2 linked regions of the Oreochromis niloticus genome follow. The protein of the gene in region 2 interacts with the protein of the main gene of each other region in a pairwise test. Links are inferred from orthologs where the notes say so. Each region holds a gene or a part of one and is shown on either strand. Other genes may lie near its edges.

Region 1 (7,960 bases), on a different chromosome or scaffold from region 2:
TTTTCAGCTATTTACTCATGGAGTTCATGTAACTGCCAACCTGTTCCGCTCAATCACAAACACACAGCAGCTCACTGCCATTTTAGCGCCGCCCTGATGCACTAAAGTCGCTTTGAAGACGGGCTACGACTAACGCGGACCTCGTCCCCGTCCTCAAAGCAACGACATCACAACAGTTTGGGTTGTGCTGAATACCGATCGGACTCTTTGAGCGTCACTGTGTGAAACACGGACTTTAATAAGAACCTGCAGAAAAACAAAAGCGATGCGTCCCGAGGCGGGATGGCGACGCCTCCCCGGCTCGATGACAAACGTGAAAACAAGCTGAGGTTACACCTCAGCAGGTGTGCTGTTAGCAGACTGGGATCGTGTGGCACGTTCAGTAATCTGTTCACTGGGTTTAATGGATGAAACCAGTTTGTGCTGTTTAAAAAAAGCAACGTGATTAAACAGACACGATCCGTCAATCGGAGCCTCGGGATCGAGTCTGGAGTTTAAAATAAATCTGAGCTCATGCTGAAGGATTCGTAACAGCTCTCATCTTCACTTTCTTACCTTTCTCCAAAATATCCTCCGCTCCGTCCTCCCACTGATCCTCGTCCTCGTACTCATCGTCCACATCTGGACAGACAAACACAGGGTCAGACGTGCATCATCATCATCATCATCATCACAAGGAGTCTGAGAGACTGTCATCTGTTCACACCAGCTTCATCCAGGATGAACCCTCCGTGTCTCGGCTTCTTCCTCGGACGATCGTCGTCGTCATCCTCCTCCTCTTCTTCGTCGTACTCCTCCTCATCCTCCAGGTCCTCCCCCTCCTCATCCGCTACCTTGTCACTGCCCACTGGGCTGCCCGTCTCCTCCTGGTGACACAACGACAAAAGCAGATGAAAATTAATCTCCTGCATCCCCTCTGAGAGTCTGCTGCTTCTCCGGTTCTTCCGTTTTTCCAGGGATCTTTTATAAACACAGCCTCAGAGATCTGAGCATCATCTGAGCAGAGACCCCGACCCTGCAAATCTGACATTTTTCCACTCAGAAATTTGGTGCCATTAAGGCTGTTGGCCTATCGTCAGTCAAAAATATCTCTGATGAATAATTAAGTCAAATTTCCCGTCAGACGGTAGAAACTGCAATGACATTTTTGTAAAGTAACATTTGCACGTCCTTTATTTATCTGGGTAAAGTCTCATGAACACTCAAGAGTTATATTCTAGAGCGTTTGGTCGAAGACGGCAGCTTTTACAGAAACATCACACATAAAACAGGACATTTAGTTTTACATTAAAATAAAAATAGCATTTGTTTTTAAAGCAGTTGTATGGCAGTCGAGCACCACCGAAGTGTTCGAGCCCAAAGGCACATACAGCAGGTAAGTGCTATGATTTAAAGTCAAAGAGATGCTGTAACCATTTAAAATGTAATAACGTATATACGGAACTATCAAACATACGATAAATATATAAAGTAGAATCAAAAGTATGACTGTGTAAGAAAACAAAAGACGACGGTGGTGATGTCACTCGACTTCATTTTACTTATTTCCTGAAGCTCTATAAAAAAAAAATTGCTTGTGATAAGTCCAGTGTCTCTTTTCATTTATCAGAAATTTTCTCTTTTAGTTGAAGTCGGTGGTGTGACCCACTTTACTCTAACACCACCCCCACCCCCACCCCCCAGAAGAAAAACAAAAAAACAAAAACAGAGTAAAGTACCTGTGGTCTGATGCCACGCAGGGATTTTTCACAGGTGTTACTTTCATTTTGAGTAAGAGCCAAGCCGTTACTGTGGGTGACACCACAGATTCCCGAGGGCAGAGAAACTTTATCATCAGCATTTATGGAGTTATTTTACATTAAATATGAACATTTATTCAAAAGAATACTACTGTTTTTGGTCACTATTAATCCTCCTTTGGTACGGTAGGAGGATCGTGACTCATTGTGTCACTGGTGTTATTGTACGTTTCATTTCTAACACATCACGTGTGTCATATTTAACACGCTATTGTACCAAATAAACAGCTGCAAAAATATCACACGATCACTCTTTAACAAACCAGAGTGAAAACAATAGATCAGCTCCTGATTTCCTGCATTACATTCATTATTTCTCTGTGACTCGGGAAATAATAGTTCATAAAAGCCTTTAAAAATGCCACAGGAGTAACACCGGTGCCAAAAACACCAAAGCTCTTTAAGTTAATGTACAAAAACAGACAAAAACAGAAAAAACATTAAGCTGTCATTTATGGGAAGTCAATAAGTGACCACATTATTAATACACCATCTGTAGAATGAGCCTCAACATTTGAAGAGGACTGCGTGGATTATAACGTGGGCACAGAGCAGGTACAAAAACTCAGTCATAAAGTCACTTATAGAACTGGTTATTTACTTTATTTTATATATAGTCCTGCCATAAATCCCGTTGACTGCAGCAAATTTACCGGAATAAATAAGAACATTAGACAGAAGACACACATACACACACGACCGGGTTTGTCCCCATAAAGTTTCTTAGCTTTTTCTTATAAATTGTGCCGTTTTTATGCAGGTCTGACTGCGTTCTTCCTCGGTATCCTACCGCACATGTCGCAGCTGCGCTCTCCTCTCTGTTTACCTCCTGTTAGCACACGTAGCTTGCCGGCTAGCTCACCTCATTCTCCTCCACTTCCTCGGCCTCGCCATCGCTGCTGCGCTCGCTCTGGTTGTCGGAGAAGTCGCTGTCCTCGCTGTCGGACATCTCGTCTCTGCGGACAGAAGCACTTTTAGCGACGGAAAAATTCACAAAGCAGCTCGGTGAAGTTTGAATCGAGTCCGGCTGCGCGGCCACAACAACCAGCAGGGCCAAGCAAGAGAGGCTAATGCATAGCACAGAGGCAGGGTCCAATAACCTCTTCAGCAGCTGCAGTCAGAGCTTAAATAACGAGCTCCGCGGGTCTTCCTTACCTGCTTCAACCAGACGGAGCCGGTTTAATCCAGATCTTTGATGAATAAATATGAATATAAGCTTCTTTCTGTCTCTGATGATTCTTCGCGTATTCTCGGGGAACAACGAGATTTCGGAAAGCTGCTCAAAAATTCTCGCGGGGTTTCACACAATAGGTAGGTAAACGTTGACGAGGTGCCACTCCGCCATGTTTTTGAGAACACGTTTGTTTCTTCAATTTATCAAACGGCTAAAGTTTTTTTTTTTATTTTTTTTAAGAAAATTCATAAATGTAAAAAAGTATACGTATATGTACATATAAGTAAATTAACCAAACACATATATCTTTAAGTTTTCCAGTTTAGAGACTAAGCTGTTTTATTAGAGAAAATGCATACAAAATAATTATTAAAAATAATCAAATAAATAAAAACTACAAATAAACAACACAAATCGTTAGAAATAATGAATTTAAACTTGCTACAAAGAAAAACGGAAGAGGAAACATACAACCACACACTATTTATGATTCTTATTTGCCACAAATGATTATGTCAGCCTTTAATTTTAATAAATAGATCAACATTTGAAATATTTACATTATATAACTATATATTTTTAAAACACTTCGAGTTCATAATTTCTCCTCAGAGTGAATGCCTCTTTTACATAAATCTTTGTTACGTCCACACGCAGATACGCTGTTCGACTTTTCGCCAAACCAGCCAATCACATGGCGCAGGCCAAGGAGAGTCACAGTGCGCATGTCGTTGTCGCCGACAGGGTTGGAACAGCAGGTAGGTCCTCCAGGTTTCGCTCCTCTGTCGTTTCTGAGACGAGCGGTGTTTGTTCCCGGAGATGAACAGTGTGGGGGAGGCCTGTACCGAGCTGAAGCGGGAGTACGACACCTGCTTCAACCGCTGGTTTGCCGAGAAGTTCCTGAAGGGCGACCGGAGCGGCGACCCGTGCACGGAGAGCTTCCGGAAGTACCAGCGCTGCGTGCAGGCGGCCATCAAGGAGAAGGAGATCCCCATCGACGGCGTGGACTTCATGGGGCCCAACAAGGACAAGCCTGAGAGCTGATGGAGGACTGCTGGGGAAATCCTAAAAATGTACACCACACTGAGCGGGGTCCACGAGGCCCACCGAGCATGCGCAGGAGCGGACAAGCTGCTGTCGCTGGGGTTAGAGGGTGAAGCGGCCCCTGAAAGGACCGTCTCCTTAAATATAAGCTTTTCTTTTACTGCACAGCTCTGTTCGGACTTCCTTTCTCACCAGAGACACTTACAGCCCGGTTCTCCTCCAGAGGGCCGATGGAGCAGCTGTCAGCCATGAAACTGAGCTAAAACTGTCTGAATCCAATTACTAACCAGCTAAAGCTCCTCCATGACGGCCTGTGTGCGCGTTATGAAGCAGTGGCAGCCTGTAACCATGCATTTACACAGCTAAAATAAGATGTGATGCTGAAAACTCTTCTGACTAATGTCATGTGTGCAAAACTCAATCTTGCATTGTACAAATGAATTAAAGGGAGCTCGGTGTTGGAGCAGGACTCTTGCACATGGTGTGTTTTTACTCAAACAGCAGGCGGTTTGTGGGGTCGATGTCTCTCCTTATTTTTCTGCAGGTTATTCTTTATCATTCTGAGTATTTTCAGTGTTGAGACCAGTTCTGTGTCTCATTCTTCCTGTGCCTGCGACGGATGTTCAGATTAAACATGACCAGAGTTCTGAATTGGCCCATGCTGTGCACTCAAAGCACTTCGGTCTCTCACACACACTCAGTGGACGGTCACCTCGCCATCCTTTGGGTTCTTACTCCCCGGATGCTCTGACTTGCCAGCCCGGTGGAGCCGGGGATCAAACCACTGCCTGGTACTGGGCTTGGTTTGTGGGGGGTGTTCGACAGAGGGAGCTTAATGAGTTCATAAGCCAGAGTCAATGTTTTCAGTGCGCTGAAGGTGGCTCTATTTTCACCATGACAAATGCTCAGAGTTTGAGCTTAAAGTCAGCTGGGAGCACCACACTGACTGGTCCTCTGCATGCATCCAGCCAGTAACACCAGTAAATGAATGCAGCTGTTCAAACTGGTGATGCAGAAAGTTTGTTTTGTTTTTTTAATGTTTGGTCTTAATCTGCTGCCAAGCTTCACTGATGCTAATAGAACACAAGAAAATAATTTAGTTTCATCTGCAGGCTGTTAATCAAGAAGAAAACGTACTCGCTCATTGATTTCACTTTGGCTCGTTGGGCGACAAACTAAAGTGGTTTACTTTGAGGCCGCGGGACAGAGAGCGGTAATGTTTAAATGTTTCCCAGCAGCAATGTTAGAGATAAACAGCAGCACTGAGCGCGCTCAGAGGGAGGTTCCATAAATTTTGTTATTGTAGTCCCCGCAGTGTGTCTGGTTATTACATCACCAGGATTTTCTGCAGCCTTACTCTGTGTGTTATTTCTATCACCACTGTTGTATTTTACTATAATGTTTGAGCATCTTTATACAAACCGAAGTAGAAAATAGTTAGCTGTTGTGTAAAATGTAAACAAAAGCAATGCAGTGATTTCAAGTCACGTCTGTAAAAGTAGGACAGGTCCATGTTTGCTCTGTAACATCAGTCTGTGATGGACTGATGGAGGATTCCAGCTGCTCAGCAGTCCTGGCTCTGCTTCGTCCTCTTGTTGCTTTCTTGATGCTCCAGATGTTGTCAGCTGGTCAGAGGTCTGGACTGCAGGCGGGCGGTTCAGTGGCCGGACTCTGTTCCTCTGAAGCCGTGAGGCTGGAATAGATGCAGTCAGAGGCCTTCCTGAGAAACACATCTGCACGGAGCAGATGTTGCTCTCCAACCTGTTTATACCTTTCAGGACTGATGGAGCCTTTCCAGATGTGCCGGTTCTGAAATTGTTCCACAGTTAAGAGACACAGTTTGTGTAGATTGGCGAGCTTCTGCTCATGAGTTGCAATATGATCCTTCCAGCTGTTTCTTCTTAGTAACTGCGGCTCTACCACTCTTTCATTGAGCTGTCCGAACAGTTGCTGCCGTCAAAATGACCTAATATTTTTCTGTTTTTCTGATATGTTTCCTGTGTTGTGAATAAAATGCGAGTTTTGCGCTTCCATTTTACACAGACTCCCAACTTTTTCAGGACTGAAGGAGCCGTTCGTCTCATGTTGTCTCTGACAGGTGGATTCAGTGCTCACTGGATGGAAAAGTAGAAGTCAGAAGCAAAGAGCACGACCTAACAGACAAAGCTGATTACCACCACCGTACATATCATCCCCTTTTTCTAGCACTGCTTGCTTCATGTTTTATCCCTCAGAGGTCTGCACTATGAAGCACGTCCAACCCTACCAAGGATGCAGGATACAATGTAAACTCCAAGAGCTTTCCTGACTCACATAAATTAATTAACTTTGCTTGGAAATGAAGAATGTATGGGGGTGTCTAAATTCATGCGCTGCATCCTCCTGAGGACACATTTATAGGCCAATTACGTCACAGCGACACGCCGAAGGCTGTCCAAATTTGTAGACTCCTCCAAATGCAGCCGACAAATGTGTCCTCCTTTTCCCCAAATTTGAAGGATGGGTCGGGTGTGTCCTTCGTGGCCCACCGTATCCCAGAATTCATAGCGCGGCCCAGCCAATTCCAGTTTTCAACAATGGCGGCCGCTACTAAGTTTTTAATATTACTCTTATTAATCTTTCTGGGTCACAAAATAAACTTTGAAGATATTTTCAGGCGAGAATGTAGCTGTGTAAACTTCAAATATCTGCTCGGTTTATCAAGAGATCACATATTTGCAAAAGTAATCCGACGTTTTCAGAGACGTCTGTTACCCACCACCTCAATAGCTAGTCAGGAGCTTGAGGGTCACTTGAGCCGCCGAGAACGGCACAACTCCCGGCACATCATTTTCAGATCACCACGGTCTTTGGCCACTCAGGTTAAACGTAACATATAAGTCACTTAGACAACCTAAAAATGTTATTGTTTGGCTTTTTTCAGTGTTTAATTTGTTTGTGAGTAAATTGGTTTGGCTGAGATTAAAGTTATTAGATTAGATTAGATAAAATAAAACTTTATTAATCCGTCGGTTGGGTTCCTCCAGCTGAATAAACGTCAAACAGAAAACTGATTAAACAGAAGTGTGAGATGATCGAGAGTTTGCTCCAGTGTCCTGTTATATTTTAGATAGCAAGGAGCAGACGGCCGAGTTTATTAAACAACACTGAAACAGCGGTGACGTTAATCTGAACGCTAGACCGTCCAATTTCACAGCCGTTTTCTTCCGGCTTACCCGACCTTCTGAGGACCCGGCCCACTCAGGAGGATGCAGCCCATGAATTTGGACACAACCTATGTTTTTCACTGCTGTTATTGTTGCTGTTAGCCTCTGTTAGCTGCCGTTAGCAGGTATTAGTGAAACTCTGAAGTGGATCTAACATTGTTGGACTGCAACACTGAATAAACTGATGTGATGAGAGAACGTCATCAAACTGTTTATCAGATGGAAAGTGTCATTTGTAGGACGCTCGAGGCGACATTAGCTGGTGTAATGTTAGCGTATAAGCAGCTGTTGTTGTTTAGCCACCTGTATTCAGCTGGCAGAAGAAGGGAGGGGTCACACGTCTAATCTGCTGACAAGTAACCGAGACAATACCTGGAATAAGTGACCATGTTTATGCACGTGTGCTGACTTCAGTTAGGAGACGAGGCCAGGAGGAAGAGGACCATTGACTCGAGGTGGCTCGGGCACTGCATTCAGGATGGCTGGCATATAATGGCAGATAATAAACATATTGCATTGATTTTCGAGTTAAATATGTGTAAACATGAGGTCGAATTTCAGGCTTTTCTGGAGCCTTAAACCGCATTCACAGCTGTTTCCATTTATGTACATTTCCATTTATGTAAATGCACAGCATTTCTAGCCCCCTCCCCCACCCAGCCCCCAGTCACCCACCATACCCTCTCCCCCGTGCCACACTCTGAAACAATGTCTCACATTTTGATTAGCTCTGGTTT
Region 2 (7,154 bases):
AGTTTACACAGTTGTAGTGAGCTGCCAAAAAGAAAAAAAGAAAAAACAAAAAAACCAACCAAACTGCTTCCTGCCAAGACTGTAAATAAAGGTAATGAGAGAAGAGCATCAGAGATGCTATCAAAAAGCCACAATGACCAAAACTGACTAAAAAAAGCTTATTGTGTGAGTTTACAACTATGATCGAAGCCTTTTATGTTAGACATTACAGGCCATCTGCACAGGAGAAAATAAATATCACAGGCTGACTTCATAGAAGAATCACCTTTGAATCCTTCTCGGCCTTTCAGCAAAAAAGTGTAAAAGAAAAAAAAATGCTGCTGAGGCCATACACTTTTAAAAGAAGCACCTTTCTCTAGTTTAGCATTCGATCGTACTTAAACACTGAGTCAACTGTTTGGTTTCTTCTGTTTTAAAAGTAATTCTTATTTTAAGACTGTTTTCATGGACCACTGATTCATTTATTAGGCCAATCCCCTTCTAACCAGCCCTGGACCTTCACACCTCATATTTATATAGCAGCAGTTTTGCTTGACATTGTGTCAGCCTGCTTCTCAACAGAAACATATCCACCATACTGGAGTGGACATGGAAAGGATCACTGTAACATGACCTGCGACCTTAAACAGCAAGAACAACAGGTACTGTTGCCAGCTGCAGTCCAACATCATGAAATTCGAGTTTATCCTCAGGATTAGAGACTCATTGAGCAAAAGGCTGACTGCGCTGCTCGACTGTTTTTATCTTTGCAAATAATCCATGTAAACTGTTAAATGGTATACGCTCTGACATGCAAGCTTGCTACCGCTAATGTTCACTGATCACCTCTTTTGCAGTGCTAACATTTTCATGTGTGGTTTCATAAGACCAAGATGGTGAAAGCCCAACTGCCACACTGCAAGTTTCAAAGCTGGTGCCCACAAACCACGGGGTGACATTAAAGTGGCTCTGCCCAGCTTTTATATGCTTTGGGTGCTTTCCATGACTCAAGCACGCCTCCTTTCTTCCTTTGGTCAGGCTCCATCTTCATATAAAGCAATTAACTTGTTGTCCAGTACTAGCTGGCAACTAGTTGCTAGCACTAGGAGACGGCTCTTCCTAGCCATCTCAGAGAGATGTGAAGGAGGTACGTGTCGATGGAGGAGCTGCTGTTGCTAAATGAGAACTTTGTGGTTTCATCGTCAGTGTAGAGTGAGTCACGGTGCACAGCTGGGCCACCTGTCCAACTCACAGACTCCCACACGAGCCCTCATTTAAGAACGATTTCAAAGCTTAGAGCAGCTTCTCCTTCAAAGTCTGAAAGTCATTCAAATCTCTAATAGGCCAATTTAAATAAAAATAATCTCTCATGTGCCATCTTTAGATATGCTACAAAAAATAAATAACCAATTATTAGTATTTTTTATTTTATATCTTCCAAATATTTACCTTTTATAAATAAAATTTACTTGCGTTATTGTTACTTCCTTACTTATCGTTATTAGTCGTTGATATAACAGGCTAGAAGGTAACAAGGTACTGTAATCACATTACTCTTTGAGACAGGCAGTACTGTAACATATCACTGTACTAATTTCAGCAACTGCATCACTATTTGCTTTGCAAAGGTTATTCAATTATCTCAGCAATGGGCAGATTGAAAGAGGGGGAAAAAAAAATCAAACCAGCAGTTTTCTTCCTGTGCTGCTGTCAGGTGAGTTCAGATTTTTGCAGGGAGGAGGAAAATGGTGGAGCAGTTTACAACATTTGAGAAGTGGCGATGTGGCCATTTCACTGCATGAAAGGATGAGATCACGAATCGCAAACTGCATCCAGAGCAGAAACTGCTGCATTATACTGTTAACGCAACATCTCTTTACAAACATCTTCACGGTGAAGAACCTAGAGTCAGTGTATCCTGACCCTTAGTCAGCAGCCAGAGTGATGAGCCATCAGGCCCAGCCTCCATTTCTACCTGTACATGTTTCTACAGTAGAATCGGTGTGGTGGTTGTTCTGAAGGCTCCTTGAGTTGGTTTTCAACTTTGCCACGTGTTATCACTACAAAAATTAAATTAAATTAAATAAAATCTTACGGCCTCTGTTATGATAGGGGTTTGAGTCACTGTGTGGGGCTGTAGCCTAAGGCTTATAATGCATCACAACATGCTGTCAGTCATGTTGCGGTGGAGTAACGCAAAGTATAACGAGTAGTTTAACAAATTACTTTCTCCAGGGAGTAATTAGGTAATGCAAAATGAAACAAAAACAAATAAATAAAAGTGACAAGTAATGTTTAAGACTTTGAGCAACGACCCCAGCAATGTTCACCTCACAGTAACTGCTTTCTTTTTTTGAAGCAATTTGCTTCTTTGAGGGATACTAAAACATTTAAGTTAATTGTATATTAAATATTAGTGTTTCTCCGTGTAACTGTGTGTATTAGAATTGACTGGTCCTTACAAAACACCACAGCACGAGAGCTATGACGATAACCTGTGTCACGTGAGGAGGGAGGAGAGAGGACGCATAAGTTTAGCATTCTGAAAAGCGTCCTACTGCTGGGACTCGTTCAATCTGCAGGTGAGGCGCTGGGGCGGGCTGACGTCATGCAGGGCCCTGCCGCAGCCAGGTTGAATGAATCAGCTTTGGCGCGATAATGAAGCTAAGGTGCCTAAAACAAGCTGAGAAAACGCCACCATTAAATAAAGACATTGACAGCAGCGACTAACCCCTCGCTGCTTTTAGACTGCAGTGATTAAACACGTCAGTCCAACCTCGTTTCAGCACTAATGCACGATGCTGAGGTTGCTAGCTACTGAGCTAAGTTCACTATACACTCCACTTTAGCTCACTATTTAGGACACTTAGCTTCTTGTGGCTCGTGTTTTATCACCTGAATTGCGGCTCATTCTTTTCTCCCATCCGGACGGTAGGTTCTCCTCGTCTGCCATGTTGCTTTCTGCAGCAGCGTTTTCAAATTTGATTTCAATCTAGAAGCCGTGTGACGAACCAAGCTGCAGCTAGGCAGATTACGACAGTTGGCCTGATGTTTATGGTACAAGTTGTTTTCAGTATTAGGTCCGCCTTTGGTGGGGTTTTTGTTCTGTGATAGGTCTAGCGAGATCGCCAATCATCGTAGTCCTCATTTGATTGGTAGGAAGGCGAATTCGCAACTAAACCAGCTTTACGGTAAGCAGGACCGAGAGGTTTCCAGAAAATATCAGCGAAGGAAATAATTGTTTTTTTCTGCTGTACAGTTCAAGGTAAGGATGACAGCTTCAACGTGTGGTTTTTATACGGTATCATAATGTTTCGGATTTTGACCTCATAAAGCTGCCCATGAGTGTATTTAAATATAAGTCCCGTTTGTTTTACATTAACGTGGTGTTGTGAGCTACAGCTAACGTTAGCTAAACAAAACAACCTGGCTGATTTCACTAGATTTCTGTGGCTGTGATTTCCAGCCAATCTTGTATAAAATAAACTCACTAGGGTTATCATCTACTTTATAATCTAATACCTTCATTTGTCTAACGTTGTCTCATCTCTTCCTCTTTTCTGCAGACATAAAGATGATTGAAGTGGTTTGCAACGACCGTCTAGGCAAGAAAGTCCGGGTCAAGTGCAAGTATCCTTTGCTGAAACTCTGAAAATAATGCTGAATATTGTCTCTCAGCACACATGTCAAAATCATGTTTTAGGTGCGGACATCTGGGATGTCTTGAGATGAGTTAACATAAGTCGGGATGTTTAACAGTACAGCATTCATCAGCATCTGCTTTCACAGCACCCCTGCTCTGAAATTATGGACTTAATTTTAAGGTGCAAGTAAGGCCCATTTATATTATAGAATGGTGTGGGGAATAGTTTTACAATGAATCTATTAACATGTGAGTTTCTGGAGTATGTTAGAAGACTAAAATTCAGTGTCACTGTTTGTCTTGGCACCCATGCTGATTACTTCTTATGACTTATTTCATTCCGTTAATACAGAAACCCACAATTGAAAGTCTGTGGGTTATTATAATAGTCATATTTGAGGTTTCAGCTTGTAAGTGAACTTTATTAAAAACAAAAAGTCAGTATCTTACATTTTGGTCTTTCAGGTTCTTTTACCTTTTAATATGTGACGCTATTTATGTTTATTATCATCAAATGATGTTTAAAAATGGTGCTTGCCACTATTTGCCATCACTTGACAGCAGATATAATACCACTTGAATGAACGCCACTTGACAATCAACTAAAAGTCTGATGATTTTCAGTAACTTCTGGGTGTCGCAGCTTGAAGGGATCTTGTTTGGTCAAGTGTTAGACGTTTTTGGCCTATAATGGGTTCGGAGGCAGTCTGTCATGGGGCTACAGAGAGAGTTGGACCAGTTTAGATAGAATACTTTAGCCATCCTGTGTGTTTTGACTGAGGAAAGCAGAGCATCCAAAGCTGCTGCGCCGTCCATCTGCAGATCAAAAGAAACAAAATGATACTAGCAGACAACACTCAGATTTTTTTTAACCACGCATTTGTTAAAGCTCTGGATGTTTTCCAAGCTGTTACACTGCTCCTTCCTTAACTTCGGTGTTTCAGCTCTGAGGATACCATCGGAGATCTGAAGAAGCTCATAGCTGCCCAGACAGGAACACGGCATGATAAGATCGTGCTAAAGAAATGGTGAGCTGCTCAAATGGGATTTGATGTGCTTGATGACAAATAACTCATCTATTTGGACCTAAATGTTGTCCTTTGTTTTCCACAGGTACACCATATTCAAGGACCACGTGTCTCTGGGTGACTGTATCCTTTAAAGGGTTTTTCCTGTAGTTGTACTTATGTGGTTTTAGTTACATTACCTTTAATTTAATAATGATCATGACCGTGACGTTATTACACCCTCACAGAACAACTGCAGTTCCTTTTATTGCACTCACAATGATCCATAACATGAATGTATCCATAAATTGTTTAAATTGGTAAAAAAATGTTTTTTATTGATTTAGAGATCAAGATAACTGCAGCACTTATTTTTCTCTAATTAAAACAGCTGAAGCATTTTTGTAATGCGTGTAAATTTGTACCTCTCAGAATCAGCAGAACCGATAGCTGCTGTATCCAGATCACTTGTTGCACTTAACCAAAAACTCTCCAGATGAAATCCATGATGGGATGAACCTTGAGCTGTACTACCAGTAAGCAAGAGGAGAACTACAAGTCAGATGTACAGATGTAAAGATGTTTCTTGCTACAAACACACACACACAATTGAAGGTCTCACACAACAAGATGGAGCGAGAGCGACAGTCACACAGCAACAATGGAGTTTTAATTTTTCCTCTCAAATCACTTTGTGAAAGAGATGTTGTTGTTGTTTTTTTTTATATTTTGGAAATAAAACTGATATTTACCTGACTGTGAGAGTGAGTGCTGGTCTTTTTTGTCCATTAATTATTTTCTCATACTGGGTGAGACTGGGAAACCTTATGCATCGCTAACACTTTTCCAAATTACTCTTTGCTTTCCAGCTTACTGGATGAAGGTAAAGTGTTGGGCAAAAGCATGCAAAAAAACATGGAGTTAGTTGCTTTTGATGTTGGTGGTAGTAAGTAGAAGGGTTTAATTGGTGCCAATGGGACCTACAAACTTATCAGTGGAACTTGGCAATGATATTTGCCTATGGCTGTGCATCCAACATCATTCACGTGGGGATGTATATGAATAATTTCAGTGGAGGCAAATGGACACCATCAGGTTTTCTAGGGGCCTTCTGCTCCAACTCCTCCACAAACTTTTAATTAGACGTAGCTTTACCTCTGTACATAAGACCAGTATGGCTAATGAGTTTATCGCATATACGCATTGCAGAAGCTAGATTTACACGCATGCTGTTTTCAACAACAAAAAAAAGTGCTTGGACTAAAAAAAATGATACTGGCTGATTAATCAGCTTTGGCAGCAGTTCTCAGACTGAGAGCTGGGGTTAGCAACCAGGGGGAATTTGTATGAAACAAAGTTTAATGATTTAGTTTTAAAAAAGGTGGTTTCTAAAGCTATTGCGCTGACTCTGAAGTATCTTTTATTGTTTAATGATGGGGGGGAAAAGCCAGCGCTAAACCTCCCTGTACACTATATGTTTAACCTCGATATTTTAAACCATTCTTTACCACATTACACTCGTACTGGACCACATTTCAGAGGAAATTATAAGACCTTTGTGCATCTAACATGTACTTTTATTTTAGAAACCTTTCTGTAGTGTACTGATCAGATAAGACAGCTATAGCACAAAAAACACCTGCTTGTTCACTGCATCAGTGTGAATACATATAAGGTGTATTGTGTAAACTATTTTTGCAGAAGTTCTACATGTCAGGAAGCCTGTGGCATTGATACTTTGACCTTTGTTGCAGCTAAATAAATGCTGCTACTACAGAGAAGTGCCATGGCCCGCAACTCTGTTTTAGATTTCAGATTTAGCATTACAATACAGATGTGGGCACAAAACCAGCCCCATAATCAAACATTTTCCTTTGGTGTGTAAGAACATGTCTGCACTGAACAAAGCCGTCCAACGTGTTTGAAGTGGAAGCGGCACTTTTGGCAGAGTGAGAGCGAAATCCTGCTGCCATGGAGACCTTACTTATAGACTCAGTCTTCTTGGACATGGATACTATTGTGTCTCTCAACACTTCAGAGCTTTAGCCATTGACAGCTGACATTGATGTAAACCTTTTACTAAAACTGCATCAAAGAAAGAAAAGAATGAGGGGACAGTCGTGGCACAGCTGTGGAAAGACAACAACTGCCGAATGAGGGAAGAGGTCAAATGTGAAGATATTTAGAATCCCCATATACTAGTATCATTTCCAAACTGTAGCCAATATAAGAATTTGAATCATTTTTAAAAATAAAAGGCAAGTTTTACCTTATTTGACCTTGAAAAAGAGATCAAAGGTCCAAAGTAATGTGATAATTACAATCCCCAGTTATCATTCTCTATATGCTGTCAATACAAACAATAGCAGTAAGAAAGTTTGCAATAGCTCTGCATTGTATTATTATCACTTTGACCTTGAGGGAGAGGTCAGAGGTCAAAAGTGACATAATATTCTAAATCTTTATACAGTACTTTCTAACAAAACACACCACACTATATACAGCAAACCAAGCCTAAAACTCTG

What was found.
Region 1: the proteins of pin1 (region 2) and supt5h interact in binary tests that used the Homo sapiens proteins (3 or more experiments, as listed by UniProt). The link is inferred for Oreochromis niloticus from reciprocal best matches to the Homo sapiens genes PIN1 and SUPT5H.

Annotation. Positions count from the first base shown.
Region 1 is NC_031979.2:38,112,838-38,120,797, reverse strand, and holds the start of supt5h (transcription elongation factor SPT5), read right to left. Parts: upstream 3,094-7,960; 5' UTR 2,955-3,093; intron 2,756-2,954; 5' UTR 2,749-2,755; coding exon 2,662-2,748; intron 867-2,661; coding exon 707-866; intron 622-706; coding exon 556-621; intron 1-555. Other genes in the region: triap1 (TP53-regulated inhibitor of apoptosis 1), read left to right, coding at 3,793-4,017. UniProt on the Homo sapiens protein: Component of the DRB sensitivity-inducing factor complex (DSIF complex), which regulates mRNA processing and transcription elongation by RNA polymerase II.
Region 2 is NC_031971.2:12,301,559-12,308,712, reverse strand, and holds the start of pin1 (peptidyl-prolyl cis-trans isomerase NIMA-interacting 1), read right to left. Parts: upstream 3,053-7,154; 5' UTR 2,933-3,052; coding exon 2,875-2,932; intron 1-2,874. Other genes in the region: ubl5 (ubiquitin-like protein 5), read left to right, coding at 3,554-3,609, 4,567-4,650, 4,736-4,773, 5,126-5,169. UniProt on the Homo sapiens protein: Peptidyl-prolyl cis/trans isomerase (PPIase) that binds to and isomerizes specific phosphorylated Ser/Thr-Pro (pSer/Thr-Pro) motifs.